Linked DNA regions of Mus musculus. Each later gene encodes a partner of the first gene's protein in a complex. Links are inferred from orthologs where the notes say so. Each region holds a gene or a part of one and is shown in the gene's direction. Other genes may lie near its edges. The genes, in order: Lsm8, Lsm2, Snrpd3, Snrnp40, Snrpf, Prpf3 and Lsm6.

Region 1 (2,918 bases):
GGGAACACTAAAAGGTTTTGACCAGACCATTAACTTGATTTTGGATGAAAGCCATGAGCGGGTGTTCAGCTCTTCACAGGGAGTAGAACAAGTGGTGTTGGGGTTATACATTGTGAGGGGCGACAATGTGTAAGTACATAAGTCATTTTGAGTACATTTGTGCTACTGGTATGTTTGCTTTATGGAAGAGAGAGTTTCTCCAACATACATGATGCCATATGTATCATAGAATTGTGCACTTAACTTGTTTTGTAGGTAGAGCTTATCTTATATATAATTCTAAATGCTGTATGTTTAGATGCCTCAGGGGTCAACTAAAGTGATCTCACAAACAGTTGCCTACTGAGATTTCCTGTGTCTTTACTTATTTGAGAATCGGGGTTTGAACCTAGAATCTTGTACATGGGAACAGGCAGTCTACTACTGAGCTGCGGTCTCTCTTTTTACATCTTGAGACCAGACCTTCCTAAGTTGCTCAGACTGACTTTCAACTTTAGGTTCCCCTACAACCGCAGCCTCCTAGTAGCCTAAACCATCATTGTGTGTGCCCAGATATGTCCACAAAGGGCCCTGCTTTTTCATCACATTTCTTAAAGAGGCTTCTTAACGATTTGGAAAATATCTTTTAAAAAATCTCCCATTTGAATTATTTTAAATGGTCCACGCTCATTTAACTGTTACTATTTTTAGTGTAGTGGATGTACTTAATGTGTGCCACGATGCACCTATTGTTTTGTTGAATTAGGACCCTGACAGTGTAGTTTGAGAAAGGCTGTAACCATTTCGAGCAGTGCTCTTCACAGTCACTTTTTCTAATGATGGGAAGCCTCACGCCTCAGCATTTTCCACTGTTACAGCTACTTGCTTTGTATAGCTGTGGTGTGTTTGAAAAGCGGCTGGTGACCAAAGAACTAATTTAAAAATTGATTTTGGGGTTATGTAGTTTGTTTGTTTGGTTTTGGTTTCTGAGGATAACCAGGCTGACCTGGAACTTGTTACCAACCCAGATTTACTTCATTTTCCTTTAGCTTCCCAGGTGTTAGCATTATACATGTAATCTACCTCCTGTGGCTAACATTTAAGTTTAAATACTATGAATAGTCAAAATATGACTAGAGGACAGCAAAAGACGTTAGTAACTAGGTGGTTTGAAGGGCTCCGTAAGATGTAGGGAAGAGACACTGAACTTACTTTGTGGATATGCTTAAGATTAATTTATTAATACTGTACACTTATTTTAAAATGAACACATGCTCTAGGCACTTAACTTTATCTGAAAACTGTATTTTGGTAAATATGATCAACTGATCCTTAATTAAAATTGTGTTTACAATCTATAAAATAGTCTCTGGAGATGACTTTTGGCTTAGATTATAACGTGAGTTATAAAGAGTGATCCAGAGCAGAGGGCCAGGTCCTCTGACCACAGCAGTACTGATGAAACACTGGGGGTGTGTGGACTGATGATTACGGTGCCTCCTGGGTCTATGTACAAAAAATAATTCAGAATTAAACATTTACCCTAAACCTGCTGGGACTAGAGCCTGCTTTCAGGAACCCATGAAAACAGTTTTAAGAATTTTTGCTAATAAATGGATTAGGGTCTTGTTAGTAGCTTGCAATTAGCCCCACTACCCCATGGAGACTTTTGTTTGCCTCATATAAATGCTGCAGATCAGATGTCAGTTTTCCAAAGAGCTGATGTTCAGACTCTTCACAGTATCTCTTTACATATGTTCCTGTCCTACCTTCACATTACTTCTTGAGTCCCATGACATGGGTAATTCAGTTCACTTAGTGATGAGATGAAATGGCTTTTGTTTCCTACCTTGTATTTTTGCTGCACCTTCTCAGTTCCACATGTTTAAGAAGCATGAAACAAGATGCTGTAGTTAATGAGACTTTAGAAATGTATGTCAATTTATTTTAGAAATGTTTTGACTCTTTTTTCTCATATTAATAACAGAGCAGTCATTGGGGAAATAGATGAAGAGACGGATTCTGCACTCGACTTGGGGAACATCCGAGCAGAGCCTCTGAACTCCGTAGCACACTGAGACCTCAGTGTGTAGTGAGATGTGTGTAAATCCTGTACAGAAGCGTCTGTCCTGAGAGTGATGTTTAGGGTTTTTATGAGTGTGTAATTGTGCAGTTTGACTTCATGTTGGTACACTGTAATATGTAATTTAAATATTTCTACATTTTTTATTGGGAAACATTGCCTAAATTAATAAATGTGGTTGGCTGGTTTATTTTTCTACCAAATGATACAAAAATCTAAGGATCATTTGAAAACTTAGAAAATACCATTACTTTTGGTAATTTAATATTTATGGGAAATTGGCTGTAAAGAGAACTTAGACTATTATTGTAACTTATACTAATGCAAATAATAGTAATAAAAGACACATTTCTTTTTGTGGTTTTCTTTTCTTTCCTTTTTTTTTTTTTAGAAATACCAGATAGTAAATGGCCGTCTACAGGTAACTGTCATAGAGTTTATCCCAATGTGGTACAGTTCTCCAGTAGTTGGAAAAATTGTGTCTAAATTTTTAGATGCCTGTTAAGGTCACAAGATTTGGTTTCTGAAAGAAGATTTTGTGAATGTTAAATGCCATTGTACTACTGAATTTTTTTAAACTAGAGTGAGGAATATCTCTATTCAAAGAGCTTTTGTTTAATGTGGGAAATTAGTTAAATCAAGAGCAGTGCTCTCTGCTGTCTCTCATTACTTAGTCCATGAGGCAACTTTTGTTGTTTTGTTTTTTGTTTTTTTGTTTTGTTTGTTTTCTCAAGACAGGGTTTTTCTGTGTAGCCCTAGCTGTCCTGGAACTCACTTTGTACACCAGGCTGGCCTTGAACTCAGAAATCCGCCTGCCTCTGCCTCCCAAGTGCTAGGATTAAAGGCATGCACCATC
Region 2 (4,204 bases), on another chromosome or scaffold:
GGCTACAATCTATTTAGATTATTACACTAGAGAATTCCACCCTGCAATCAGCAGGTTTAGACTCTCAGAATTTTCACCTGTGTCCCGTGACTGCCTTGCACCTACAGCCAGCCTCAAGAAGAGAAGACAGAATAGAAAGTGTTTCCCTATTTATCCAGACATGATATCCACAGAAGATACAACCTAGCAACTTCCCACTTAATGTAATTATTTAAAAAAAAAAAAACAATAGGGCTGGAGAGATGGCTCAGCAGTTAAGAGCACTGACTGCTCTTCCAGAGGTCCTAAGTTCAATTTCCAGCAAGCACAGAGTGGCTCACAATCATCTGTAGTGGGATCTGATGCCCTCTTCTGGATGTCTGAAGAAAGCCACAGCATACTTACATAAAACAAGTCAATCGAAATAACAACAAAGCCCTTTCATCTCAGACCATCTCTTTCTTCTCTGGAACTTGCCTACTGAGGCTTTTCTAGTTTTTTGTTTTTTTTTTAAATCAGTCAGCTCTTGTGAACTCCTTCACAACCAGCATGTTACAAGCCTGGTAATGCTGTTCCCAGAACATCCAAAGTAGTATCTGTCGGTGATCTAGTTGAAAATATTTCAGTAATGCAGGGATGGATCAGCAGTTACAAGCATCTGTTGCTCTTCCAGAACACCCAGATTTGATTGCCAGCACCCACAAGGAGGCTCACCATTGTAACTCCAGGCCCAGGGCATTTGAAGCCCTCTCTTCTACCAGGAACTCATGTAGTACAGACATAACATACAGGCAAAAACTGTCAAACACACACAAAAAAAGCTAAGATAAAGTAAAATATTTCTGTCACTGAGTTCCAGTCAGTTTAGTCCTTTACAGACGAGTCCTATGCCAAATTATATATATATATATAACATTAGAGCTGGGATGTTGTTCATTTGCTTTGCTTAGAATGTGTCCGCTCTGGGTCAACTTTGCACCCCAAAAGACTGAAATTGAGAGAAACTTACTTACTGGGAACCTTTGATAAGAATCAGGATTTGTGTTCCGGTTTCTCTCTCACACTCACACACACCATAACCAGTGTGTATTGGTGTATATTTTATTCTCTGACACAGGGTCTTGCTATAATAGCTTTAGTTGACCTCTAAACCAGAATCCTCCCGTCTCAACTCCAGGATTCCAGTTGGGCACGAACGCTGTCCAGCTCTTAGCAACATTTTAAATTTTACTAAAGAATACGCAAGTCATAATTTTCTCAATCTTCCCAATAATTCCCCATAGAAAACGTAGACTACGAGCTAATCACGCGGCAGAGAGAAAAGTCTCAACAACCATCAGAAAAAGAGACGAACTACGTCCAACGCGCAGCTGCCACGGCCCACGCATGCGCTTGTGAGAAAGCGGCTGCTCGGGAGGAAGTGGGGGGGACAGGAAGTTCCGCCCCTCTACCGGTTTGGCGGTCCTCTCGGCTCTGCCCTACCCCGCTCCCTTTGAGCCTGAATTCAGCCGAGGTTTTCGCGGCTCCCCGTGCGCCTGCGTGATCCAGTCTTGCTTCACGCGCGGGCTCGCGCTCCGGCTCCCGCCCTGCCTCCGGCTCGCAGTCCCCGGCGCCTTCCTTCGCGGTCCAGGCCGCCCCGCGTGGCGCCAGCACCATGGTGGGTACCGTGACGTCAAAAGGGAGCGCCGCCGCTCGCGGCGGGCGGTTCGAACCGTGCGGGCGTGGGTGCGGGCACTCGTGTCGGTCGCTTGGGGCGGCAGCCAGGCCCCAGGGTTTTCCGTACAGCCTTACTGCCCACACCCCAGTGTGAGGAGGCTGCTCGGAGCCGATGGTGTTTTGGGGGAAACCTTTAGCAAGTCCAAGAGAAAGCCCACGGGCGCCGGGGGAGAACGGGAAGCGAGCCTTGCACTTCTGTGCTGTTGACGAGGACTTTGTGAGGGTGCGGTTGGGAAGCGGTCTCAGCTGGGAGGTGGTCGACTCAGAGAGTGGGTTCTAGCGTCGAGGGGTGCAACGCAGGTCCTGTCACTCCGTGGCTCCGTGAACTGCAGAGTCCCGTTTAACGGATTGTTGTTGGTTATGAAGTTTTGAGAACTACTAGGAGGGGCTACAAAGACTAGTATTTCAAAATACTGTCACGGGCTCCTCCTCCCCGTCCCTTTTCATGTGATAGTTCCTCCCTCTTTTCCAATAGCTCTTCTACTCCTTTTTCAAGTCTCTTGTGGGCAAGGATGTAGTCGTGGAACTCAAGAATGACCTGAGGTAGGTCCTTATTTTAGCGAGTTGGTGGAAGGTGGGGGTGCCGGGTGTCCTGATCCTTTTTGTCGTTGTTGTTGACAAAGTTACTTCAGAGTAGGTAGGCAAAACACAGAAGAAATACCTTTCGTCTTAAGTGTAAAAGATTAGTTTAAGAGTGAGCCTGGTATTGTGACACATGCTTGTAATCCCAACACTGAACGCAGAGGTGTGAGTTCAAGGACAGCTTGGTCTACATATGTCCAGGGCCATCCGGAGTTACACAGTGAGATACAGTTAAGTAACATGTATGTGTAGTCCTGGCTGTCCTGGAACACACAGATCCACATGCCTCTGTCTCCTGAGTGCTAGGATTTGCCTGGCTGTATCATTTGCTCTTAACGATTCAGGAGTTGGGGTAAATGCTTAAATGCTGTACCACTGGAAATATGTTTATGGGTTCTTGTCACATCCGTTAAGGTCTACTTGGTTCCTAATAGTGCTTCGAAAATTATAGTTTCATTGAAGCCGGGTTTTGTTTGCTTTTGTTTTCTTTCATGTACTGGGCATGCTCAACAAGTGAACTTCATATGCAGCCCTCATGTTTCTCTTTAAAATAACTTTTTTTTTTTTTTCCAGACAGGGTTTTTCTGTATAGCCCTGGCTGTCTTGGAACTCACTCTGTAGACCAGGCTGGCCTCGAACTCAGAAATCCGCCTGCCTCTGTCTCCCGAGTGCTGGGATTAAAGGCGTGTGCCACCACCGCCCAGCAAAATAACTTTATTTGTAGACTCTTGAAACCTTTGAACACACATCAGTGGTTGACCAGCAGGATGGTTCTGACCAGTGTGGCCAAGTTAGAAGCTGGCCCAGACTGAGGTGCAGACTAAGACCTTTCATAGTCTAAAAGTCAAATCACACGAATGGTCTACAGAGCTGTGGGGATTCATAGGATGTAGAGAGTGAGGAAGTAAAACTCAGGATCTGAGGTGGTTAAAGTTGGTTACACAGAGGGTAAATATAATATAAGGTGGGGCATGTAAGGTGGTATGGGAGCACTGGCCTTGATAACCTTGCTTAGGGGCTAGAGGGCTGGAGAACTGAGAAGACTTGACTTGTATCTTCATTATTAAAGATAAGTTGGGGGGGATAACATTTGAAATGTAAATAAAGAAAATATCCAATTTTTTAAAAAAGAAGAAGAAGCCGGGTGTGGTGGCGCAGGCCATTAATCCCAGCACTCGGGCTACACAGAGAAACCCTGTCTCGAAAAAAAACAAAAACAAAAAAAAACCAAACAAACAAACAAAAAACTCATACGAGAAAAAAAAGAGTGTAGCAAAAATAATAAAGAGTAATTCCAGCTACCAGTATGTGTACATAGGTCTGTGACTCCAAAGCAGTAAATGTTTACAAATAACAGTTAGGGAAGCTGCAGAGATTGCTCAGTGCTTTAAAAAGAGCTTGCTGGGGGCTGGAGAAATGGCTCAGAGATTTTAAGAGCACTGACTGCTCTTCCGAAGGTCCTGAGTTCAAATCCCAGCAACCACATGGTAGCTCACAACCATCTGTAAAGAGAGCGGACATCAGACGCCCTCTTCTGTAGTGTCTGAAGACAGCTACAGTGTACTTAGATATAATAATAAATAAATCTTTAAAACAAAACAAAACTTGTTGCTCTCCCTGAAAAATAAGAGTTCAGTTTCCAGCAACTACATTAGGTGATTCACACCTACCTAGAACTCTGGCTGCAAGTGATCTGATGCCCTCTTCTGGTCTCTGTGGGTAACTACATGCACATACACACAAATAATAAAAATCAATATTTTAAAAATAATAGTTGATGCTTCTGGGAGTCATGCAGATCTGGGCTGACCTTCAGTTTATTGGTTGTAAGTTTTGTTACCTTCCATGACCTCTCTCATATCCTGGAGGATGATAATACTTTGAAAGATGATTAGCTAAGTGGTGTTGATAGCAGTGCATCCCTTAA
Region 3 (4,154 bases), on another chromosome or scaffold:
AGACAAAAAGCGCTGAGAAAAAGATGTTCCCTTTGCTGGGTGCTCCCAGGCCATTCTTTTCCCCCTCTTTCCCGCCCCTTTGCTGAGAGCTCTCAAGCCATTCTTTCCCCCTCTTTCTCGGCCTCAGGCTTTCCACAGTTCCCCGGGGAATAGGATCACCCAACGTGCTTCAAGCAGGGCTATTCGATTCTGGACAAGGTTGTGCCTTTTTGCCCCTTGGACTTTTCCACTTGACGGCTCTCAGCACTCCCTGGGCTTCAAGCCCCAGGAGACTCAGGAACGACCCTAAGTGGAGGACAGGAGATGAGAAGGAATATCCACCTAGCTAGGACCCACTAGAAGCTCCAGGCTGGGCTGAGGCCGCAGACGACCCAAGGTCGCGCGCGGCCAGACCCTGCCCGGCTCTAGGGCGGAGTCCCCCTCCGTTCCCCCGGTTGAAGGCAAGGCCCTGAAGAGAGGCACTGACCGGGCTCGAGCGGCTGCCCCGCTGCCTCTGCCTCCGTCCTCATGACCCGGATGGCGCAGGGCGCCCATGGCCCCGGCCTGGAGCTGATTGCAGCGGCGACTTCTGCTGGGCAGCGAGCGCGGCCAGTGAGCGCAGAGTTCCTCCTCCTCCGCCTCCGCCGCCGCCGCCGCCACCGCGGTTCAGAGCCGGGTAGGCGGTGGCTAGGCCGCCTCAAGCCACGCCTAATCCCTTCCAGGTCTGGGCGCTGGAAACCCGCCCCTTCCATAAGCCACGCCTCTTCCCTTCCACCCCCACTTCTCCTTCCAGAACCCGCTACCCGTAGGTCCTTCCCTGAAACGCTCCGGGGGCCCCTCCCCCTCCCCGAGCCCCGCCCCTCCCCGAGCCCCGCCCCCAAAGCCCTTCCCCTAGCGACGTGGGCTCCCCACGCTCTCCCTCCGCTAGGTCTGTTCTTCTGCAGCCTCAGATGGAAGCTCTGGTTCTCCGCAGTGCCTTATCGAGACTCCAGGGAACACTTTCCCGACTCCTTTTAGGTCTTCTTACCCAGACAAGGAATAATGAGAGTTCCCAGGGCTCAGTGCGTCCCTTACCTGCCGGTGGCCGGATCCAAAGCTTAAATCTCTAGTCCAAGCCTCACTTCCTGTCTCCCCAGAGCACTGGGCTCAAGCCCAGATCCCGCCCAATCCGCCACTACAGTACTCAGGGTTACCATGTTCCCTTGTTGGGCTCCAGGATTGGTGTTTCCGGCGGTCCCCCGGGCCCTCTCCGGTGCCGGAACTATTGTGCTAGAGCCCTGGTTTCCCCAGCCGGCTAAGTGAGAGTGAAGGGCAAGTAGGCTTAAAGGAAAGGGAGGGGCCTGCGCAAGGCATTCTGGGAGCGCGTGGTATTCGTGAGAGTCGGGCCGGTCGTTCTCTCGCCTTCGCCTTCTAACGTTTGTGCCAGAACCGGAAAAAAAATAAAGCCTGCAGTTAATTGGTGAGGAGAGGCGGCTAACGGGAGAGAGGAGGCCAGGGCTTCCCCAGGGGGTTTAGGAGCTGGAAGGGCCGCTGCGGAGGAGCTCAGCGGGGCTTGCTTAGCGGAGGGCGGGAAGCCAGGGCCTATCCAAAGCTCATCTCCCGAACCCTTGAACAGTTATTAATTTACGCCTAGTCTGCACGTTCGGTGCCTTCTCAGGTCACCGATTTCCGAAGCTTACGGGCAGTCATTTCTTGCTAATTACCTCCTTTCCTTTTGGATCATCATTTACAACGTCCCTTTCATCCCTGCCTCCACTCCCATTCCTGCAGTGGCCCTCTTTTCCACGCTGCTGCAGAAGTTTAATCAAGTTGCCGTGCTATATGTTCGATCCACTTTGTAGATGCTACTCTTTTTTTTTTGAACCTTTGGCTATCATCCTGCAGTGTTTCCCTACCATTTTCAGCATGGAAACCCACACTCCTAAAGTTGAAAGCCGTGGTTCCTCACCGAGAGAGAGAGACTGTGTTTAGCATCCTTACAGTCTTCTCATGCAAATAAATGGTGTGCTCCGGTTTTGAGTCGTTTCCAATCTCAGCATTTTAAAAGCCCTGTGCATAGTCTTTGTCTTGTAGTGAGACTTAAAGTCGAGCGTTTACCCTATTTCTCTGCTTGATGAACATTTCCTATTTATAGCACCGTAGCCTTGACAGTTTTGGTCTGCTTTTTGGTGGGGATTCAAAACGCTGGATTGAAAAGCGCAAGCTCTTTTTCCTAGCTTCCTTGGGGCTCAGGTCTATATGTACTATTAGGTTCTGTAGCCTTTATCCAAATGTGGTGGCTGACTACTTGGGATATTTCTGGTGTGACTGAAAGACTGAGTTTGCTTTTATTTGCATTTTATTTAACTCCATGTAAACAGTGATTTGTTTACACTCCGGGTCTATATCATAGCCCTTTTAGTGACTATAAAGGGTCATATGGCTGGGATGAGAATGGGGGTAGTACTCTTTGTTCCCATTACTTTTCATTGTCCAGCTTACCATCCTTCCCTACCCTACGTGTTGCGCTAATTTGCTGTGGTGGTTCCTTGAGGCCAAGAGCCACACTCCTTCCACAGGAAACGCAGCTCTTGACATCATTTACAAAGCCCATGGCGTGCCAGTCCTTAAGCTCTGAAAGATGACCATCGTCTCTCTTTCCCTGTAGCCCGGGAAGAGTCCTGCCAAGATGTCTATTGGTGTGCCGATTAAAGTCTTGCACGAGGCTGAAGGCCACATAGTGACGTGTGAGACCAACACCGGGGAAGTATACCGAGGGAAGCTCATTGAAGCAGAGGACAACATGAACTGTCAGGTATCCTGCTTGGCACCAGGGCTGGGAAAGGGCTGTGGCTTCTATCCTGTGGGTAGAGCGGTGTACTTGGAGGTCTTAATGAAGTTATTCTCATCAAACAGTTATTAACTAAGTACTTATTACCTGTCAAGCACTCTTACAGGCTCTAAGATTTTATGTCAGTATAGACTTAGCCTTGAGGCAGAAAAGTCATTTGACAGCCTGTGGTTGTACGTGTGTATCCGAGCACTTGAGAGGCTGAGGTAGATTCTCGAGTTCAAGGCCAGTCTGGGCTTTATAGCAAGACCACACTGCTTTTGGTAGGGAGTCAGAATGCTGAATTGAAAGCACAATCTCTTTTCCTAGATTTCTCTGGGGTTAGGTCTATATTTACTGTCAGGTAGCCTTTAGCCAAATACAGTTGCTAAGTACTTGTCTATAAAACAACCAGTTAAGTTTCACTTTTCTGTCTCAGAGTCGGTCAGGTTCAGAGCCAGTGTCTGCTTCCCAGCACAGTGTATAATTTGCAGGATCTTCTACTCACGTATTGTGTGTGCTTACTTTTGTCTTGGAGAAAGTTTCATCTGATAAAACTGCCAAAGTTTTGGCATATGGTTTGGGGGTTTTCCCCATTAATTAAGAACTTGAGCTTTGGAATCAGAGAATTCCCTGATTCCAAATTGAGTTGGGCCATAATGATAGGACCTTGGGTATCCTGGTCACTTGTTCTCCCCTGAATAAAATGAGGATGGAGTTGTTTTGGATCCTCTGTGCTGTAAATGCCAACCCAGAATTAGATACACCAGAGACTTTGGGGAGGTGGCGTGAAGGACGCCAGTGACCGAGCAGGATTGCGGAAGTGATTGGTTACTTTGCTTGTTGCTGTGATCAAATTCCTGACCAAAGCAACTTAAGGAAGGGGGAGTTTATTTCGACTCACAGTGTGATGAGACAGTCTGATGCAGAAGAAGTCATGGTGGCAAGAACTTGAGGAGGGTACTAACTAGTCACATTGAATCTGCAGTCAGGAAGCAGAGATGAGTGCCAGGACTTAGCCCAGTTTCTACTTTTCACCTCCACCTAACCTAGACAATCCCTCGCAGACACGCCTGTCCCTTCAGTAATTCTAAATCCATCAAGTCGGTAATATTAATCATCGTAGCAGGAGGGTCTTCAGTCCAGGAAAGGAAGGCAGAGTGAGCAAAAGGAGCCTCAGGCTACAACATGGTGCTGAGGAAGTTTCACCCAAGTAAGAGGAGTAACTGGAGCCAGTAATGGACTGGCTCTGATGTTTCTGCTGTGGTCAGTCCCTGGCAGCCTGCTGGAAGGGCTGTCGCAGCGTGAATGCCCTGGCAGGTCCCCCAGAGTGGCAGCTGGAGGGTGCCAACCTGTTGTCTCCTGA
Region 4 (4,039 bases), on another chromosome or scaffold:
TCCAATCTCATCACACCATTAAGCCTGAGGGATCAAGTCCTCTTTTGCACCACATTCTGGAGGAGAGAGAAAACTATCGCTGGCTTCCTATTAATTTTAAAGTAAAAGCTTCAACTTCCTGCAAATCTTCATGACTTCCAGGTTCATCCCATACCATATTCACTTTAAGCTAGCGCTCTCGCTCTCGCTCTCTCTCTCCCCCCACACCGGCTCTTTGTGTCTCCCTCATCTTTCCGACTGATAGAACCTGCTGTTCTGTGCAGAACGTTCTCCCTTCCTCTCTTCCCCTAATTAGAACCGTCCCATCAGATAGGAACCGCTCAGATGTCTTTTCCTTTAAAAAGCCTTCAAGTTTATATTAGTAACTCACAGCAAGAGGCATCGCTTGTTTAGGTAGTCTTCCGATCAAATGGTTTTTGTTTAACATCAAATTTGTTTAACACGTTTCCCACACTCTGGGGTAGAGGACCATATTTCTTCAGAATGACCCCCAAACGCACTGCACAATAAATATCATTTGGACCACTTTCGAGAAGACCTGGCACGCAAGCATGATTGTTCGATTTCTCAACTAAACTGTGCTTCGGAAGAACCATCTGATACTTTCCTCATCACTGGCTGTCTCGGGGACATAAATTAAAGCCCTTTTAAAAAGACGGCTAAATCAGTGACAACTAAGTCCGCCGCCTCAGCCAAGTCCGGCACTGAAGCCTGGAGGCCAGGACTCGGGCCAGCACAGAGCTAGACGCAGAATTGGCATCCTGCAGAGCAGCTGTCAAGGGATAGCCGTCTGAGGGTTCGAGTCCTGGAGCCAGAGATGCCAAAGCTCCGCTCCAGCCTACCAAGGGACTTCTCTTTCCGGCGACACCTCCTGCCACCCCATGCTGCTAAGGCTGATAGCTGAAAAGGGCAGGCTCAGGCCTATCACCACCTCGCACCTTCCAGATTGGAACAGCCACCCGCCTGATTCCCCACACACTCACTCCGCGTCCGCGCCTAGCAGGACAGCCGCTTCATAGCTAGGAACGCCAAACCTGCTCCGCTCGTTCTCACCCACGATGCACTGCGCGCCCGAGGGGGCGGGGGAGAACGCCAGCTCCGCGACCCAATCCCAGAGTCGCCTTCTCGTGACGTCATCAGAATGGGACCAATCACAAGAGTGTATTCAGAGGGCTTTCCAGAAGGAAATGTTAGAAGCCAATTGGTTGCTCCTCTCCGGAAGTTCTGGAGGAAGAACTCAGTTGGAACCAATTGCGCGGCGCCTCCGGTCGGCGGCGCGGTTAGTGGCGGCGCCGAGGAGAGTGGCTGCCGCCATGATCGAGCAGCAGAAGCGTAAGGGCCCGGAGCTACCCCTGGTTCCCGTCAAGCGGCCGCGACATGAGTTGCTGTTGGGAGCGGCAGGAGCCGGCCCCGGAGCGGGGCCGCAGCAGGCGACTCCAGGGGCATTGCTGCAGGCGGTAAGTGGGGAGTCATCCCGCCTTTGGCCCTCCGCCCCTCTTCCTACGGATGATGTCGCCTCTGAGGGAACGGAAAGACAGTGAGCCTGAAGTTAAAATAGGCTTCTGTGAAGGTGCCTGGTGTTCTCTGTGTGGTTCATACGTGTTTCCCTAGTAGACGCCTGTTTTCAGCCCTTCAGTGGCATTGAATCATTTAAAACCTTGGCCTCAAAATCAAGACCCAAGCTTCCGCATCCTAAATCTTCAGGGGTTTAGCATAAAAGAAACATTCAGGAAAGTTTGCAGAGTGGACGAATGAATGAGAGGGGAGGCAATGGAAATGAATGATAGCTCGCTTTACTACCTGGTAGAACTTTTTTCTTTCTCTGCATTTATAATTGTAATTAACACTCGTTGGATGTTATCTTGGATGTTTTGCGTGTGAAATTTCCATTAACCATGGTACCTGACTGAAAGAAGCTGTTACTTTGCAAATGGGGAAGGCAAACTTTTTTGTATCCAGAAGATCCATGGCTCCAAGCCAGTGTAGGCTATTTATTATGGCAAAGTCCTGTTGAAAGAGAGAAGAGAAGAGATCTGTGTAACTATGATCTTTTTTTTTACCTTCTTGTTAAAACTGTTTTTATGTCATCTGACATCACTGCAGGTAGAGCTTAATTTAGTATTCCTGGTTTTTGTCTTTGAACCAAGGATTGGTTATTAATCCAGTAGCCAGGGGAATCATGGAAATATTAAGTCACATGGTATACTCTGCTGAAAACATTATGTTGGCTTTCTATTGTGCGTTTTTTTAAAAATCAAATTCTCTGTAATAATCCCCTCCTTACCTTGTTCATCTACCAGTTTTCTGGCATGTCACTTGGCTCAAGACACCGACTTATAATGTTCTTTCTTTCCTTGGTGCTTTTGCTGGAATGTTCTTTTAAATGCCCACATGGTCAGCTGTTTGCTCTTTCAAATCTTTGCTCAGACACCAGGTTTTCAGAGGGGCTTTCCTGACCACTGTGTTTCAAGTTGGAGTGTCCTGTAATCTGGAACCCATACTGTTTCTTCCCATGGCACTCAGCACTGGGTGGCTCTGTGTGCCTTTCTCTCACTTTCCACTAGAATGCAAGGTCTACTGTTTTACTGAGTGCTGTTTTAGGCGTGTGTGTGTGAGTGTGTGTGTGTGTGTGAGTGTGAGTGTGTGTGTGTGTGTTTCATATGTGGGGAGGGGGAACTCAGTGGCCAGAAAAGAATGTTGGATCCTCTGACCCTAAAGTTACAGCCCTTGAAAGCTGCCCATTGTGGATGCTGGGAACTGGACTTGGGTCCTTTAGAAGAGCAGTAAGTGCTCTTAACCACTGAGCCATCTCTTTAGCCAACATGTGACACTTTTTGAATAAAAATGTTGGATGAGTATGATCTTGGTACATTATTTGCATTTATGGATATATCAAAATGAAACCCATTGCTTATAGATAGTACATGATAATAAAAATAAGTAAGTCTGCCGGAATCTGCTAAAGAGATTTCAGGATTATTGGTAGTACACTTGTTCTTATTTAATGAGTAAGATTGCCTAGGTTTATTCTCCAAGATCATAATCAAATCTACTTTGCTAAGCCTGGCACAGTGATACACACTTGTTCTTAGGAGGACTGAAAATTTTAAGACCTTCCTGGGCTACATATTAAGACCCTGCTCATTCCCCCAAAATCTATTTTGCGTAATAAGCTGTACCATACAAGGTTTTTCAAAGGCTAGCTGGGTGAACTTGAGACAGGAAAATGGTGACTAAAATGAAGAATGTACCTGTACTCCCAGAGCTTCATCTCTTTGGGGAAAAAGAAAGGCAAGAAAGGGAAATTCAGGTAGTGATGGGGCTTTGACCGCCTGCCCTGGAGCTAGTGGAATACTGGTGTGGGGAGGTACCTCACTCAAAGTAGGTTAGTTTGAGTGATGAAAGACAGACTCTGAGGAGGAAATATTTAAAAGATACAAAATAAGGAAGGTCTCTTGTGAAAGACATCTTTCTATGTTAAGATTCTGAAGCATAAGTGGATTCAACATGATCAAGCAGTCAGAAGTCGTCTGTGGAACAGAGACAGCCTTAGGGAGAAAAAAGCGCATTGGGCATATGCTGGACTGTCCAAGGGATTGTCAGAGAGTTCTGTGAGCAGGGGTACTATCGCTGACCCAGGTGAGATCTGTGCTATCCCTGACCCAGATGAGATGCGCTGCCCCAGCTTTCCTTTGCCTGTGGACAATGGCTGCCTCACACTTGTCTTTGGTTTAGGGACCGCCCAGGTGTTCTTCCCTTCAAGCTCCAATCATGCTGCTCTCGGGACATGAGGGGGAAGTGTACTGCTGCAAGTTTCACCCCAATGGATCCACCCTGGCTTCTGCAGGATTTGACCGGCTAATACGTAAGGCACAATTTTGAACTGGAGTTACATACAGCTCTCTGCTAATAATGATCTCTTTAATTTTGAGTGCCATAGAAATCCTCAGACATCAGTCTAAATTGCCAAGTTAAACTATAGTCATGCTAAAGCAGGGCATGTGTAAAATAAAAGGAAGGAAATGTACTAATTGGAAAG
Region 5 (4,130 bases), on another chromosome or scaffold:
TTGAGTAGATGTCATATTGTTTTTCATAGCAGCTGTGTGGTTTTGATTCCTTCAGATGGTACCCAAGAGTTACAGTTTTCCACATCTGCACTAACACTTGTTTTCTACGAGGTTCCTCTTTTTAATGTATAAATATTATTCTCCTGATCTGAAATAGTATCTCCTCTTGGCTTGCATTTCCCCAATGACATTGGGCACCTTTTCATGTGTGTATTAACCATGTGCTTTCATCTTTGGAGAAATATGTTACTCACATCCTCTATTTATTTATTTACTTGTATTTTTTAAGACAAGGTACTCACATCCTCTATTTATTTATTTACTTGTATTTTTTAAGACAAGGTCTCATTATGTAGCCCTGGCTGGCCTGTATCATGCTATGTAGTCCAGGCTGGCCTAACTCAGAGATCTGCCTGCCTCTGCCTCCTGGGTGGTAGGATTAAAGGCATGTGCCACTTTGTCTGTTTTTAATTTTTTTGTGTGTTTAATTGTAGTTTCTGCCCAGATTTTAAAGGTTACTTAGGTGGATATATTAACTAGAAATCCAGCTAACAAGAATATGGAGAGATTTGGTCTGGAAAATTCTTGAAACGAGTTATTTACAAAAGCTGTAGAAAAGTCTGGAAAGTATGCCTGTAGTGGTGAATATAGTGTGGGATTAGAAATGAGAGTTCAATGTTATGAATACACTGAAAACCCCAGAATGTTTTGTTTCATCCCTGTCACTTGGTGTGATTCTGTGAAAAAAAGCCTGTGATTCTGTCATTCCTGGGATAGAAGCAGGAGGATTAGAAATTAAAACATCATCCCCATTTCACAGGAAGTTGCAGGCCAACCTGGAATACATGAAACCCTGTTGAAACAAATGAACCACCTAATAGTTGATCTTGCAGTTAATGTAGTGTCCCGAGGTATAAAATGTATCTCTGAGCGAGCCCGGTTTCTGAGTTGCTTCAGTTAGCCAAAAGGTATTGGTTGTCTGTTTGGTACCATGAATATAACAGTGAGCAAAACAAAGTCCATATCCTTGAGCTTGTTCCAGTGGTGGGAGATGGTTGTGGACCACAGATGCGTAGGAGTGATCCACAGCATGGCGGTAAAGCAAAACCAGGGTTATGAGTGTGCAGTACTGAACAGCCTCGCCTCCAAAGAGACCTTTGGCATCTGGGACAAAATCATATCTGTTGGAAGGAGCAGCAGATGCAAAGCTTCTGTCCACGGGGATTGGGGGGGGGGTACTAGGGTGTTTGAGGTACAGACAAAAGGCCAGAGTAGAAGGTGGGATGGCAGTCACTGAAAGCCTTTCAACAGTAGTGAGGCTTTTGAATTTAGTAAGCTCTAAACTTTGGGTCATTAGTATAGATACAACTTAGAAGCCATTTAAGTGTTAGGGAAATGTCAAAAATAATTAATCCATGTGTACCATTAATCTCAGCAGTTATGAGCAGAGGCCGGTTAATCTCTGAGCACAAGGCCAGCCTGGTCTACAGAGTGAGTTCTAGGACAGTCAGAGCTACACAGAGAAACCCTTTCTCAAAAACATAAATATCTACATACACACACAATTACATTCCTTCTGATAGGAGTTATATACAAAATCATCTCACAAACATTTGTTCTAGTGACAACATGTTCTCTGGTTGCTTTGTTTTCCTACAGAGAAACAGCTTGCATGTCTTAAATGCTTTATGCCAGCCACATCTACCTATGTCCACTGCCTGCTTATGAAAGACGCTTCCTTCTCTTCTCTTGTTCTGCCTTTGGTGACCCCATATAGCACTGGTGGATATTTTTTTTTTTTAATTGTAAGAATGATAGCTAAAGCCGGGTGTGTTGGCGCACGCCTTTAATCCCAGCACTCGGGAGGCAGTGAGTTCCAGGACAGCGAGGGCTATACAGAGAAACCCTGTCTCGAATCCCCCCCACCCTAACTAACTAAATAATATAACTAAATAATTAGTTTATTTTAGCTGCTGAAATAGCTAAAGATTTTTCATTTAAAATTAGAATAGAATTTGCAAAAGTAACCCTAAAGATCATTCTTGATTTACACACCCCCACCCCTCCACCCCCATCCCCATTGAGTACATGAGATTTTAAAAATCTTAACTTTTTTTGGTTTGGTTGTTGGCTAATATATTTTAGCCATAGCTTTTGTACACCCATTTGAACAAGTTAATATGATTCATAATGTTTTACTCTAAGAAAAGTTAATGTCTGGTTCTTTGGAGCTGAATTTTCAGAAAATTTTAAGAATTATAACTTACTCAAATAAGCTTTCTTCTTTGAGACACTTTAATAGCAGATAGAAATAACATCTAGAAGGCTTAATAACTTTGAAACGAGCTTTATTATCCATGAGTTCTATACCCATGCATGTCTTAATGAATATATGAAATCCAAAGCTACAAGAGTGATGGGAAGATAATCTTAGAGCTACTGTTTATGGATCCAGTGTGAGTTGTTGGTGTGGAGGAGTCTCAGTCACTGGGTCCTCACCGAGTAGGCATGCTGCACTCTTCCCTCCCGTGCAGCTATACTAATACCTTTCTTTTTGTCTAAAGCTTGCAAATACAGAAGAGTACATAGATGGGGCGCTGTCTGGACATCTGGGCGAAGTTCTAATAAGGTAACAGACTTATTTGTGTGTATGAAAGGAGTTCTAACTAACCTCAGAAATACCTGCTGAAATATATTAGTCCTATTAAACATTAAACAGGAAGTACTCTACAACTAGATCTCAGAAGCTTGTGAAATCACTAACATGTTGGAAGATTTCAGTTTATATTTGAGATTTTCCTACTCTTGATTTACATCTCCTGGCTCCAGCTGTAACCTGTATCAGTGTCCTGGGTTACAGGGATTTAAATTTGAATTTTAGTTGAGTCTGGCTGCTAAGGATTTCTGTTGTACTCACTGTCTGGTATCAGCAACTACCTACATTCTAAGTCGTAGAGATGAAGTGTGATGATGGTAAAAATGTGTGGTGTGTCTTTACTACACCTATACAGGACTAACAGGACAAGTGGCAAGCTGTGAGTTCAGTGTCCAGTCTGATGATGGGGCACTGAGGATTGATCTTGTGTGGGTTCTGAGTGCAGCTCACAATGGACTGTTTTCTGTTACAGGTGTAATAATGTCCTCTACATCAGAGGCGTTGAAGAAGAAGAGGAAGATGGGGAAATGAGAGAATAGCATCTTGGATTTTTTTTTTTATATATATATGTATTTCTATACAATAAAGATTTGGGGTTCTTTTTTTTCAACTTGACTTGTGGACTATTTAATGCAAAGCGCAAATGTTGAAACAATGGATGGATAATTCTTAGAACTAAAGTTTTAAAAGCCTCTCAGTTTTATTCAAGGGACTCTTTTTTTTTTTTTGTAATCCCACCGCTGGTTTAACTGAGACCTCATAAAAGCAGCAGTGTTGTTTAAGGTTTCCAAACCACTTGTAACATCCATAAAGTTAAACATTTTCTTAGTATTAATATATATTGTATTAATAAATCATTATTTCTATATTGACATAGACTAAATAATGTATATTATAGCTAAGTCAAAACATGAAAATTGAAATAATTATGGAGATAAAATACAATACAAATTGATATTTAGGCTGAAGATGTATGATTTTGTTCACTTGAAAGTTTTCTGATAAGGTTTTCAGAGCTTAATGTGAAAGAAAACCAGCCCCATGATTGTTCTGAGACCGTAGTCTATTAGTTTTTAAGCTTTAAACCTGTCCAGTTGTTTTAAGAATAATACATTTTAAAAATGTATATTCAAAGCTGTAAACTTCCTTATTGCTTTAGAAAATATTAAAATTCTCATGCTTTGAGGAAGGCCATTCTATTGTTACATCAATAAATTGACTTTGGATACATGTCTCCAACAGGGACAACCTAAAGTAAGTATTGCTTAGCTCATGGCCTGTACTAGTGAACAATAGAGTTGCAGCAGAAAATAGTTGCTGTTCCTAGTCCTGTAAACTTCCAGCTAAAGGTCTGCTGCGGCCCTGGAATTTGCTAGGGCAGTATTGCATCACTGAAAGCCAACATCCACATAAAACATTCGCTAAGAAAGTATCCTCGTGATCCCGTTCAACTAAAAAAGTACTCTTCGTCCTG
Region 6 (4,191 bases), on another chromosome or scaffold:
GTCCCAGAAGTACTTTCTCTTACCTAACTGCATTTGATGTCCCTTATCTAACCTCTATCCACTACCCCCACCTTTCCCAGAGGAACTGCCATTCCTTAAAAAAAAAAAAAAAAAAAAAAAAAAAGTTTTACATTTTATTTGGGGGATGTGTAGTGGGGAACTTGCCATGGTAGACAAGTATTTATTAAGTACTTAATTGTATGAGTGTTACTGTAAGTATAAGCACTAAGCGTGTGGTGGCTATTCCTGGTTATCTACTTGACTATATTTGGAATGAACTACAATTCAGAATTGGAAGGCTCACCTGTGATCCTAATCTGGAGGCTGAGATATACAATTTCTGACCTGGATCTTGGCACGGAGATCTTGAGGCATAGTGGCTATAAATTCCAGAAAATTAAGACTGGGGGATCTTTGAGTTGAAGGCTTGGTGGCACACACCTTTCATCTGGGCCACACCTTCTGCTGGAGACCTACATAAGGACATTGGAAGAAGGAAGATTCTCTCTCTCTTCTCCACCTGCTTGTCTTGTGGGACTGAGCAACTGCTAGATCCTTGAACTTCCTTTCATAGCTGCTGCTGCCCATTGTTGGGACTTGGACTACAGACTGTAAGTCATCAACAAATCCCCTTACTATACAGAGACTACCCATAAGTTCTATGACTCTAGAGAACCCTGACTAGTACAAAGCCTAAGTTAACTTTTATGAATACGGTAGATGATACTACAAGTACAATAAGGAAAAAAAAAAGAAAAAAGAAAAAAAAAGTGGGACTCTAGAGCGTCAAGTATCAAAATTAAATAGGGCGGCCAGAAAGGCTTCTCTAAGGCTAATTTGAGCACAAACCCGAAGTAGAGTGGAGTGCAAATCTTGTAGTTTTCTTAGTAAAGAGCCATGCAAGGCAGAAAGCGACAAGCGAGAAAGTAGTCTGGTTTCTGAGGCTGAGCTAGCAATTGGAATACTGTTATCCCTAGAGGTTAGGAAGTGAGGCAGGTTTTGGTGTTTCATTGGCGAATGGGAAGCCAGGGGATAGCTCTGAATCTGTTCTTTTTTGTTGCCTGGTCTCTGGTATCGATTTTAAATTAGGGAGGCAAAGTTAAGGGAGGGCAGCTAATGCTAGAGATCACAATTTTTTTTTTTTTAAACTAGAAAGGACACTTTGAGTACGAATGTGGACGTCCTTGCTTTTAGTTCTAAGTGATAATCTTAGCGCACTAACTCTTTGGACCCGAGGGAATGTGATGCCAACCGATTTCTGCTCCGGGAAATAATGCCCGAACTAACGTTGGCATCGCTCCGGGACAACCCGCGGACTAGGCTTTAGGATCCCGCGGCGCGTGCGCCCCGCGGCCGGCACCTTGATACCGCGGCTGCGCAGCTGAGGCCCCGCCTTCCGTAGTCACGTGCCGTAGGGACCGCAGCGTGGCGGTGTGTGGCGGTAGCGACGGCGGGCCGTAGGGCAACCGGAAGGTTTCCGGTTCCGGTGTAACGTTCGGGCTCCGTCTCAGGGGCTGAAGTTTGTGAGGTGAGTAGTGGCCCCGCGCCCGAAAGGCTGTAGCCTTCGGTGCGAGCGGCTGGACAGGGCGGGAGTGCTCGGCGGGAAGCAGGCTGGGAGGACTCCCTGGTTCTGTCCGGGGAAGAAGTCAGAATGGGCTGGCTGAAGGCAAAGGGCGGGGGCGGGAAGCAGCAGGGTGGGCAAACCTGCCCTGAGGTGAGGAGTTAGCGCGGACTCGGTGGGGCCGGGGCCAGGTGGGAAGATAGCAAAGACCGGAGCATGGGGTTCCAGGGGCTTGTAGCGTAGAAAAGTAAGGAATCCCTTCGGAAGATGAGATTCTGCTACCTGCTCATTCAGAAGACAGCGTTCTGCCTCCCTCCCCTTCCCCTTCCCCTTCCCCTCCACCCCCCAGCCCCCCACCGACGCTGACGCCCCCTCGCTATTAGAGTTGAACATCTGGTTAGTGACAACTCTACTGACTGAAACTTTCTTATCCATTGACTGTTTCGTTTGCACATTCGGGTCGAATTTGAAGACATCCATTTGTTAGTATATTTCTTGAGCTTACATCCAATATGCTTAATATGCTTCACCTATTACTCTGGATTTTGAAAATTGCTTAAACTTTCTAGCCTATTATTCAATTGTAGTGGGTTGTAAGTCCCATTAACATGAGGATTCTTGGCTGTTTTGTTCACTGCTGTGTGTGTCCTTACATGCAGTAAGTATTCTGCTTGACAAGAAATAGTAACTTAAGTATTTATTGAATGGAGTGTTATACCAGATGTCTCATTTTCTAAGATAAGTATACTGAGGCTCTCGGGAATTAACTTGCTTTCCTAAGGGCTTATGAATGGTGGTGCTTACTATATTCTATCTTAAATGGGCTTTCTTCTCCACTTTTAGTGCCTGTGGTTGCTTTCTTTTTGATAGGCAGTATACTGCTATCTCATGATGGCCCAAAAAAGCTATCCCAGGATTATTCATAAAAGTTGTCACTGAGAAACAGCCTTCCAGATTCATTCAGATGTATTAAATACTGTGTATTGACAGATCTTATGAGAGAGAAATCTGTCAAGAATGTAGGAGCTAATTAGACTGCATCTTTTTTTTTTTTTTTTTTTTTTTATGACAAGGTCTCATGTAGCCACCGGTGATGTTGAACTCTGTAGCCAAGGCTGGACTTGAACTCCTGATTCCCCTTGTGCTGGGATCACAGGCTTGTATGATCATTCTGAGGTTGCATTTTTTAGATGTCTTTAAACATCTTGAAAGAGTAATTCCCAGATCATACTAAGATGCATGGCAGTGCTAAGAGGAGGTCTTATGGGAAGTTGAGGTCGGTGCAGTCAATAGATTGACATGCAGCCATTAGGAAGAAAATCAGAAATTAAGTTATCTTTATGCTGGTGAAGATGTTGAGATTTAAGATTACCCAAATGTAAGCATGAATAGTGTTGAAATTTTTCTCCAACTGTGTTAAGTAATAAAAAAATCATGTTGGTGTATAGAATACTTACCAGCATGAATAAAACTACAGAGAAAGGTGACAGCATTCTTAAGGATTATGAGATTTAACACAGGAGGACTGACTTGAATAAACCCTCTTCTTTGAATCCGTTAGACAAGTTTTAGGTCAAAGTTAGGTTAGAGAATGGCTTCCAGAGCAGAAGTTGACTTCTAGATTGACTCTTCAGATGTTCTGTTTGCCAGTCTTTTGTGTGACAGGGTCAGAGTTAGAACCCATTCCTCAGATTACGTTATTCCTAGTTTGTTCATTCTTTAGATAGCAATGATGACTGATGCTGAGTTAGAATTAAAATATCAAATGAGTGGGGCATGGTTGTATGCTCCTAGAATTTCTCACTGGGCAAGTGGAGACAGGAGAGTTGCCAAGTGTTGAGTTCTGTATGAGCTACATTGTAAGACCGTATCTCAAAAAAAAAAAAAAACAAAAACAAAAACTAATGGACCCCTTCCTTCTGTTTTGAAGCTTGGTTTTAGGGAATGTATTTCCCTTCATATGAAGTGGAGAGATGTGCTTGGGGTTGAAAATAGGAATGGGGAAAAGCACTCTTATTATGCTATTATCTTGATTGTTTTGTTTTCCTTTTCTCTGACTCTTGCTTGGTTTCTTTTAGGTGTAGTTTTTTTGTCCCATTGGAGCTCTCATTCTCCATTTTCTCCGAAATGGCGCTGTCTAAGCGGGAGCTGGATGAGCTGAAGCCATGGATAGAGAAGACGGTGAAGAGAGTGCTGGGCTTCTCAGAGCCCACAGTGGTCACTGCAGCCTTGAACTGTGTGGGGAAGGGCATGGACAAAAAGAAGGCGGCTGGTGTGTACCTCTCTCACTCTTCTGACGTATAGTGATTCCAAACACTGATTTGAACTTCCCCAGGTTGTCCCTGTTAGGAGCATTAAAGGAAAGGTGGTGCTAGCCCCCTTCTCCTTTTGTTATTTGCTTGTTTTGAGACAAGGTCTCCTGTGTAGTTGTGTCTGACTTGGAACTCCTTAGAGATCCACCATCCTCTGCCTCCTGAGTGCAGGGGTTAACAGTGTGCACCACTCCCTCCTCCCCCTTTTTTATTTAAAAGACAGGGTCTCATGGAGCCCAGTCTGGCTTCCAGCTCACTAGCTGAGGATGGCCTAAGACTTATGAGTCTATTTCCTCTACATCAGCAGCTCTCCAGCTG
Region 7 (3,934 bases), on another chromosome or scaffold:
ACTACCGCTGTGGTGCCAGAGATGTTCATGCACACTAGATATGCTACCACTGTGCTAAATCCTCAGCCCCCAATTTGACCTATAAAGCAGTTTTTATTTTAGGGACAAGGCATAGCGTGCTCCTTCTTTGATTTAAATGTGACTTTACCTGTGTTCCTAATTTTATATTTCAAGAGCCTAAAATGCTGTTTGATCAATGTCTGTAATTATTTGGTCTTGACATCAACTGGAATTTTACAGACAGACAGAAGGATGTTCCTGTTCTTTTCCAAATTCCACCCAGTTGTTCACTGTCTGGGGTATCAACCAAAGGCAGGTAGATCACTGTCCAGGATATCAATCAAAGGCACGTAGAAAAGGAGGAATCCACTTTGTGTTTCAGAAAACAATTCTGCATCTTAGATCCTGTAACACTTATCAGGGTTATGTAGCTGTTGTTTGAAGGTATTATAACTTTGTTGAATGTTAAACAACAGAAACAGAATTAAAATTTAAAATATAAATATAAAATATAAGTTAAAATATAAAGAGATCGTGGGGGTAGAAGAAATTGTCTTCCTGTGACTTTTTTTCTTCCATAAATAAAAAGCATGCATTAAGAATTCATGAAGTATCCCTAACCAAGTTCCCATACACTACTTAAATAGTATCTGCATGCAGTTTCCAATTAAACTAATTTGTAACGTTTTCTAATTGATGCCGTTATAATTCAGAGTTGCTTGAATTATTTTTTTGTTTCAGCATTCCCATGGAAACAATCTCTTCATACATTTAATTTATATGCAGAAGTTAGTTTGAGGGTTTGAGGCTTTTAACTTGTATTTGTTTTAAATTATTTAAGGCTATTTCGGGGTGCTCAACAGCCATCGTTTTAACTGTAAGTTTCCGTTTCTTAATATTTTAAGGTTCTTTACTGTAAACACACACACACAAGATCACTTCTAGCTCTTGGTTGGTTGTTTTGCTTTCGTATTCTATTTTCTGGCAAAAGAGAGAATATCAGAATATCGGACCTTTACTTCAAGCCCTGGCTGGGTGCCGACGGTACCATTAAACAAACCCGGTCTTGGAAGCCAGCTCACTAACGCGTTCTGACTGTTTTTGATCCCCGCGGGTCGCCATAGGCAAGGAGGACGCTGATTGGGTGAGATGGGAAAGCCGCTGCCGGGGGCGGTTTCGGTTTTCGGCGCGCGCGTCCGCGGAAGCCCGGCCTGTGAGCGTTCTGGATCCGGCTGCAAGGTGAGCCCGCGGCCTGGGAGGAATGAATGGGTGCGGGCAGGCACTCCGGGTGGGAGCGGCTGGCGTAGGCCGCGGATGGTCCGGGCTGGCGGGGAGCGGCTCGAGCCGGGCCTGCGTCCCAGGAGATGCTCGCTGGTCTGGGCCACGCGGGCTCGCGGTGCCGGGCGCGCTCCCGTGGCGCGCGCGCTTCGCGCCGATTGGGGTGAGCGCCCAGGGTTACGGTGGCGCGCGACTTCGGCGCCCTCCTCCACCCGCGAGCCCTGCGCGACGGAAAGTAAATACAGACGAGCGGAGGAAATGGTCCTTGCTGACGGCCTCGGCACACCAACTCCCTTTCTCTTGTGTGGGCCTGTTTCTGTTTCAGCTAAGACCACCAAGTTTTTTAACCACACACCAGTATTTAGTTTTATACTTACATTAAAATGAGACAAGTTGTGATTTTAAAATTCATTGATCTCGTTTGGGCCCCCTGTTTTATTGTGTGGATCTCATAAATTATTCAGCTGTTTCCCAGGCTGACGTCTTTGGGTGTGAGTTTTTTGCTTCATTTTCGCATCCCGAACGATATCGTGATGCCTTAACTTCTATTCCTCAAATTTTCAATTACTAGCATAGATGGTTCTTGCACATTGCGAGACTGGTTTTTCTTAAAGTGTTAGTAATTTATTTGGCTCTTCAAAACCGTGAAAGGGCCTACTGTGGTTCTAAAGTAGCAAAGCACAGCCTCACTTTGGAATTACTATTGGGAGTTTGAACTTGCAGGCTGTGACTGTGTGTGTGTGTGTGAGAGAGAGAGAGAGAGAGAGAGAGAGAGAGAGAGAGAGATAGAGAGACAGACAGACAGACAGACAGACAGAGACAGACAGAGAGACAGACTGACTGACTGACTGCACATGTTAATCAGATGCTGGAACAGGAAGAGACAGCCAGTACCCATCTAGCCTAACTTCCTTATTTTGCAGATGAGCCTGGGGCCGTGACAGGTGAAATGGTGATGAGTTACGCAAGCTGCACAGATAATTAAGTAGCAGAGATTAGAACTCAGGTTTCCTGCCTCCCAAGTGAGTACCCCTAACGACTGCAGCAGCTCTTCTCTCACTGAAGGGTGGCCTACTAGATAATAGAACTTCTTTAAAGAAAGTTTTGTTTTGTTTTTAACTCCCTGGCTTATTTTCTACTTTTGGATTGAGGGACTGGAAAATAGAAAAGTTACATTTTTGTGTTCAGCACTAGAAATTTATTTATTTTTTTGAAGGTCAACCCTTTCAAGACTTTGACGATTGCTTCCAGCTTCCCCGTGTTGGGATCAGATACTTCTGATAAGTGCTACTGTTATCCCTCCCAGTACCGAAAAGTGCATGGACGTTCAGGTTTCCTCTGTGTTTACATATAAACTGTGCAGTCTTCCTGTGCCCTTCACATCATCTCTAGATTACTCACAACGTGCCATTTAATGTCACTGGTTGCAGTAGAGTATTGCTTAGGGAGTACAGCAAGGGGAAAGTCTGTGTCTGGGTAGCAGAGAGACCGCTGGACAAGTAATTACAGCTTCATTTTACCAGGTGAGGCAAGGTTGGCTGGATCCGTAAACACTTTAAACCCACAGACACAGAGGGGCTTGCCTACTCAGCATCTGGTTCTCACGCCAAGGCTCGCCTTTCCTAAAATCCCGTGGTGTTTAAGCCAGAAAACCGAGAGAGAGGGAACGAGGTGGTGGCTAGGGCTCCCTGGCAGCATTTCTGTCAGCTGACGTGTTGAACCACTCCCACCACTCAGTCCTTCGTTGTAGAGTGCTGTCCTCTGAGCCAGCAGTTCCCACCCCAAGGTCACAGCCCCTTTGGGGGTGTCTGGCGACCCTTCCTCGGGAATTGCATGTGCATATCAGAGATTTACATTACAAATCATAACAGTAGCAATAAAATTAACCTTATGGTTGGGCTCACTATACCATGAGGAACTGTGTTAAGGGCTCACACATTAGGGAGGTTGAGAACCACTGCTGTACACTGTAGAGTCTTGAGGGACATCCCTGACCTCTGTAAACTAGATCCTAGTTACCACTCTCCTGTAGTGACAGTACAGACTGTAGACATTTTCAAATGTCCCCAGGGTGAGGCACAAAAGTCACCTCTGGTTGAGAGCAGCTTGCTTTTAGGAGTTAGCCTAAGTAACCCAATTGTCAGGGCACTCATGGCCAAACCTGGACACCTCGCAAGGGTGACCTCTGACATCATATGCACGCTGGAGCAGCTGCTTCTGCCCCGCCCCACTACATAAGACAAACGAGAAAAACATGCAGTAAGAAGCAAACACTGAGTAAGTGTCAGAAATCTGTATGTGACCAGGCTTCTTCCTAGGCTTGGCTCTGACCACCAAGCATTTCTGTTTTCCTTTCTTTTAGTATTTAATGGTTGTTAGAAAAGAATTGCAGGCTCGTAGCTGTTGAAGTGCGTGCATGATGCTTTAGTAGCCATGCCTGTTTAGTAGCTATGGTTGTAGACGGGTAAGGGAGGGATTGGACTTTCTGATACCATCTTTGAATGCCTCTTCCACACACAGTCTGTTCAGGTGCCAAGACTACTAGAGAAGTGAGATTTTTCTTGTCCTCTTGAATTTTTAAAGTCTCTTTGGAGACTGAGTCTAACATGGCTAATATATATCACTGGGTGAATACAGTTTGATACACACACTGCAT

Evidence for each region.
Region 2: Lsm8 (region 1) and Lsm2 share a complex: the UniProt entries of both Homo sapiens proteins name them as parts of the precatalytic spliceosome. The link is inferred for Mus musculus from reciprocal best matches to the Homo sapiens genes LSM8 and LSM2.
Region 3: Lsm8 (region 1) and Snrpd3 share a complex: the UniProt entries of both Homo sapiens proteins name them as parts of the U4/U6-U5 tri-snRNP complex. The link is inferred for Mus musculus from reciprocal best matches to the Homo sapiens genes LSM8 and SNRPD3.
Region 4: Lsm8 (region 1) and Snrnp40 share a complex: the UniProt entries of both Homo sapiens proteins name them as parts of the U4/U6-U5 tri-snRNP complex. The link is inferred for Mus musculus from reciprocal best matches to the Homo sapiens genes LSM8 and SNRNP40.
Region 5: Lsm8 (region 1) and Snrpf share a complex: the UniProt entries of both Homo sapiens proteins name them as parts of the U4/U6-U5 tri-snRNP complex. The link is inferred for Mus musculus from reciprocal best matches to the Homo sapiens genes LSM8 and SNRPF.
Region 6: Lsm8 (region 1) and Prpf3 share a complex: the UniProt entries of both Homo sapiens proteins name them as parts of the precatalytic spliceosome. The link is inferred for Mus musculus from reciprocal best matches to the Homo sapiens genes LSM8 and PRPF3.
Region 7: Lsm8 (region 1) and Lsm6 share a complex: the UniProt entries of both Homo sapiens proteins name them as parts of the precatalytic spliceosome. The link is inferred for Mus musculus from reciprocal best matches to the Homo sapiens genes LSM8 and LSM6.

The regions. Positions count from the first base shown.
Region 1 is NC_000072.6:18,851,635-18,854,552, forward strand, and holds the end of Lsm8 (LSM8 homolog, U6 small nuclear RNA associated), read left to right. Parts: intron 1-1; coding exon 2-129; intron 130-1,966; coding exon 1,967-2,057; 3' UTR 2,058-2,418; downstream 2,419-2,918. UniProt on the Homo sapiens protein: Plays a role in pre-mRNA splicing as component of the U4/U6-U5 tri-snRNP complex that is involved in spliceosome assembly, and as component of the precatalytic spliceosome (spliceosome B complex).
Region 2 is NC_000083.6:34,980,450-34,984,653, forward strand, and holds the start of Lsm2 (U6 snRNA-associated Sm-like protein LSm2), read left to right. Parts: upstream 1-1,404; 5' UTR 1,405-1,633; coding exon 1,634-1,636; intron 1,637-1,680; exon of another isoform or gene 1,681-1,807; coding exon of another isoform or gene 1,808-1,918; intron 1,919-2,170; coding exon 2,171-2,238; intron 2,239-4,204. UniProt on the Homo sapiens protein: Plays a role in pre-mRNA splicing as component of the U4/U6-U5 tri-snRNP complex that is involved in spliceosome assembly, and as component of the precatalytic spliceosome (spliceosome B complex).
Region 3 is NC_000076.6:75,516,688-75,520,841, forward strand, and holds the start of Snrpd3 (small nuclear ribonucleoprotein Sm D3), read left to right. Parts: upstream 1-1,354; 5' UTR 1,355-1,438; intron 1,439-2,626; 5' UTR 2,627-2,647; coding exon 2,648-2,773; intron 2,774-4,154. Other genes in the region: protein GUCD1, read right to left, coding at 467-509. UniProt on the Homo sapiens protein: Plays a role in pre-mRNA splicing as a core component of the spliceosomal U1, U2, U4 and U5 small nuclear ribonucleoproteins (snRNPs), the building blocks of the spliceosome.
Region 4 is NC_000070.6:130,358,893-130,362,931, forward strand, and holds the start of Snrnp40 (U5 small nuclear ribonucleoprotein 40 kDa protein), read left to right. Parts: upstream 1-1,239; 5' UTR 1,240-1,313; coding exon 1,314-1,457; intron 1,458-3,735; coding exon 3,736-3,865; intron 3,866-4,039. UniProt on the Homo sapiens protein: Required for pre-mRNA splicing as component of the activated spliceosome. Component of the U5 small nuclear ribonucleoprotein (snRNP) complex and the U4/U6-U5 tri-snRNP complex, building blocks of the spliceosome.
Region 5 is NC_000076.6:93,582,529-93,586,658, reverse strand, and holds the end of Snrpf (small nuclear ribonucleoprotein F), read left to right. Parts: intron 1-2,331; exon of another isoform or gene 2,332-2,564; coding exon 2,565-2,629; exon of another isoform or gene 2,630-3,128; coding exon 3,129-3,195; 3' UTR 3,196-3,630; downstream 3,631-4,130. Other genes in the region: Ccdc38 (coiled-coil domain-containing protein 38), read right to left, coding at 4,104-4,130. UniProt on the Homo sapiens protein: Plays a role in pre-mRNA splicing as a core component of the spliceosomal U1, U2, U4 and U5 small nuclear ribonucleoproteins (snRNPs), the building blocks of the spliceosome.
Region 6 is NC_000069.6:95,853,086-95,857,276, reverse strand, and holds the start of Prpf3 (U4/U6 small nuclear ribonucleoprotein Prp3), read left to right. Parts: upstream 1-1,391; 5' UTR 1,392-1,528; exon of another isoform or gene 1,529-1,957; intron 1,958-3,639; 5' UTR 3,640-3,688; coding exon 3,689-3,833; intron 3,834-4,191. UniProt on the Homo sapiens protein: Plays a role in pre-mRNA splicing as component of the U4/U6-U5 tri-snRNP complex that is involved in spliceosome assembly, and as component of the precatalytic spliceosome (spliceosome B complex).
Region 7 is NC_000074.6:78,818,353-78,822,286, reverse strand, and holds the start of Lsm6 (U6 snRNA-associated Sm-like protein LSm6), read left to right. Parts: upstream 1-1,134; 5' UTR 1,135-1,239; intron 1,240-2,201; 5' UTR 2,202-2,300; intron 2,301-3,934. UniProt on the Homo sapiens protein: Plays a role in pre-mRNA splicing as component of the U4/U6-U5 tri-snRNP complex that is involved in spliceosome assembly, and as component of the precatalytic spliceosome (spliceosome B complex).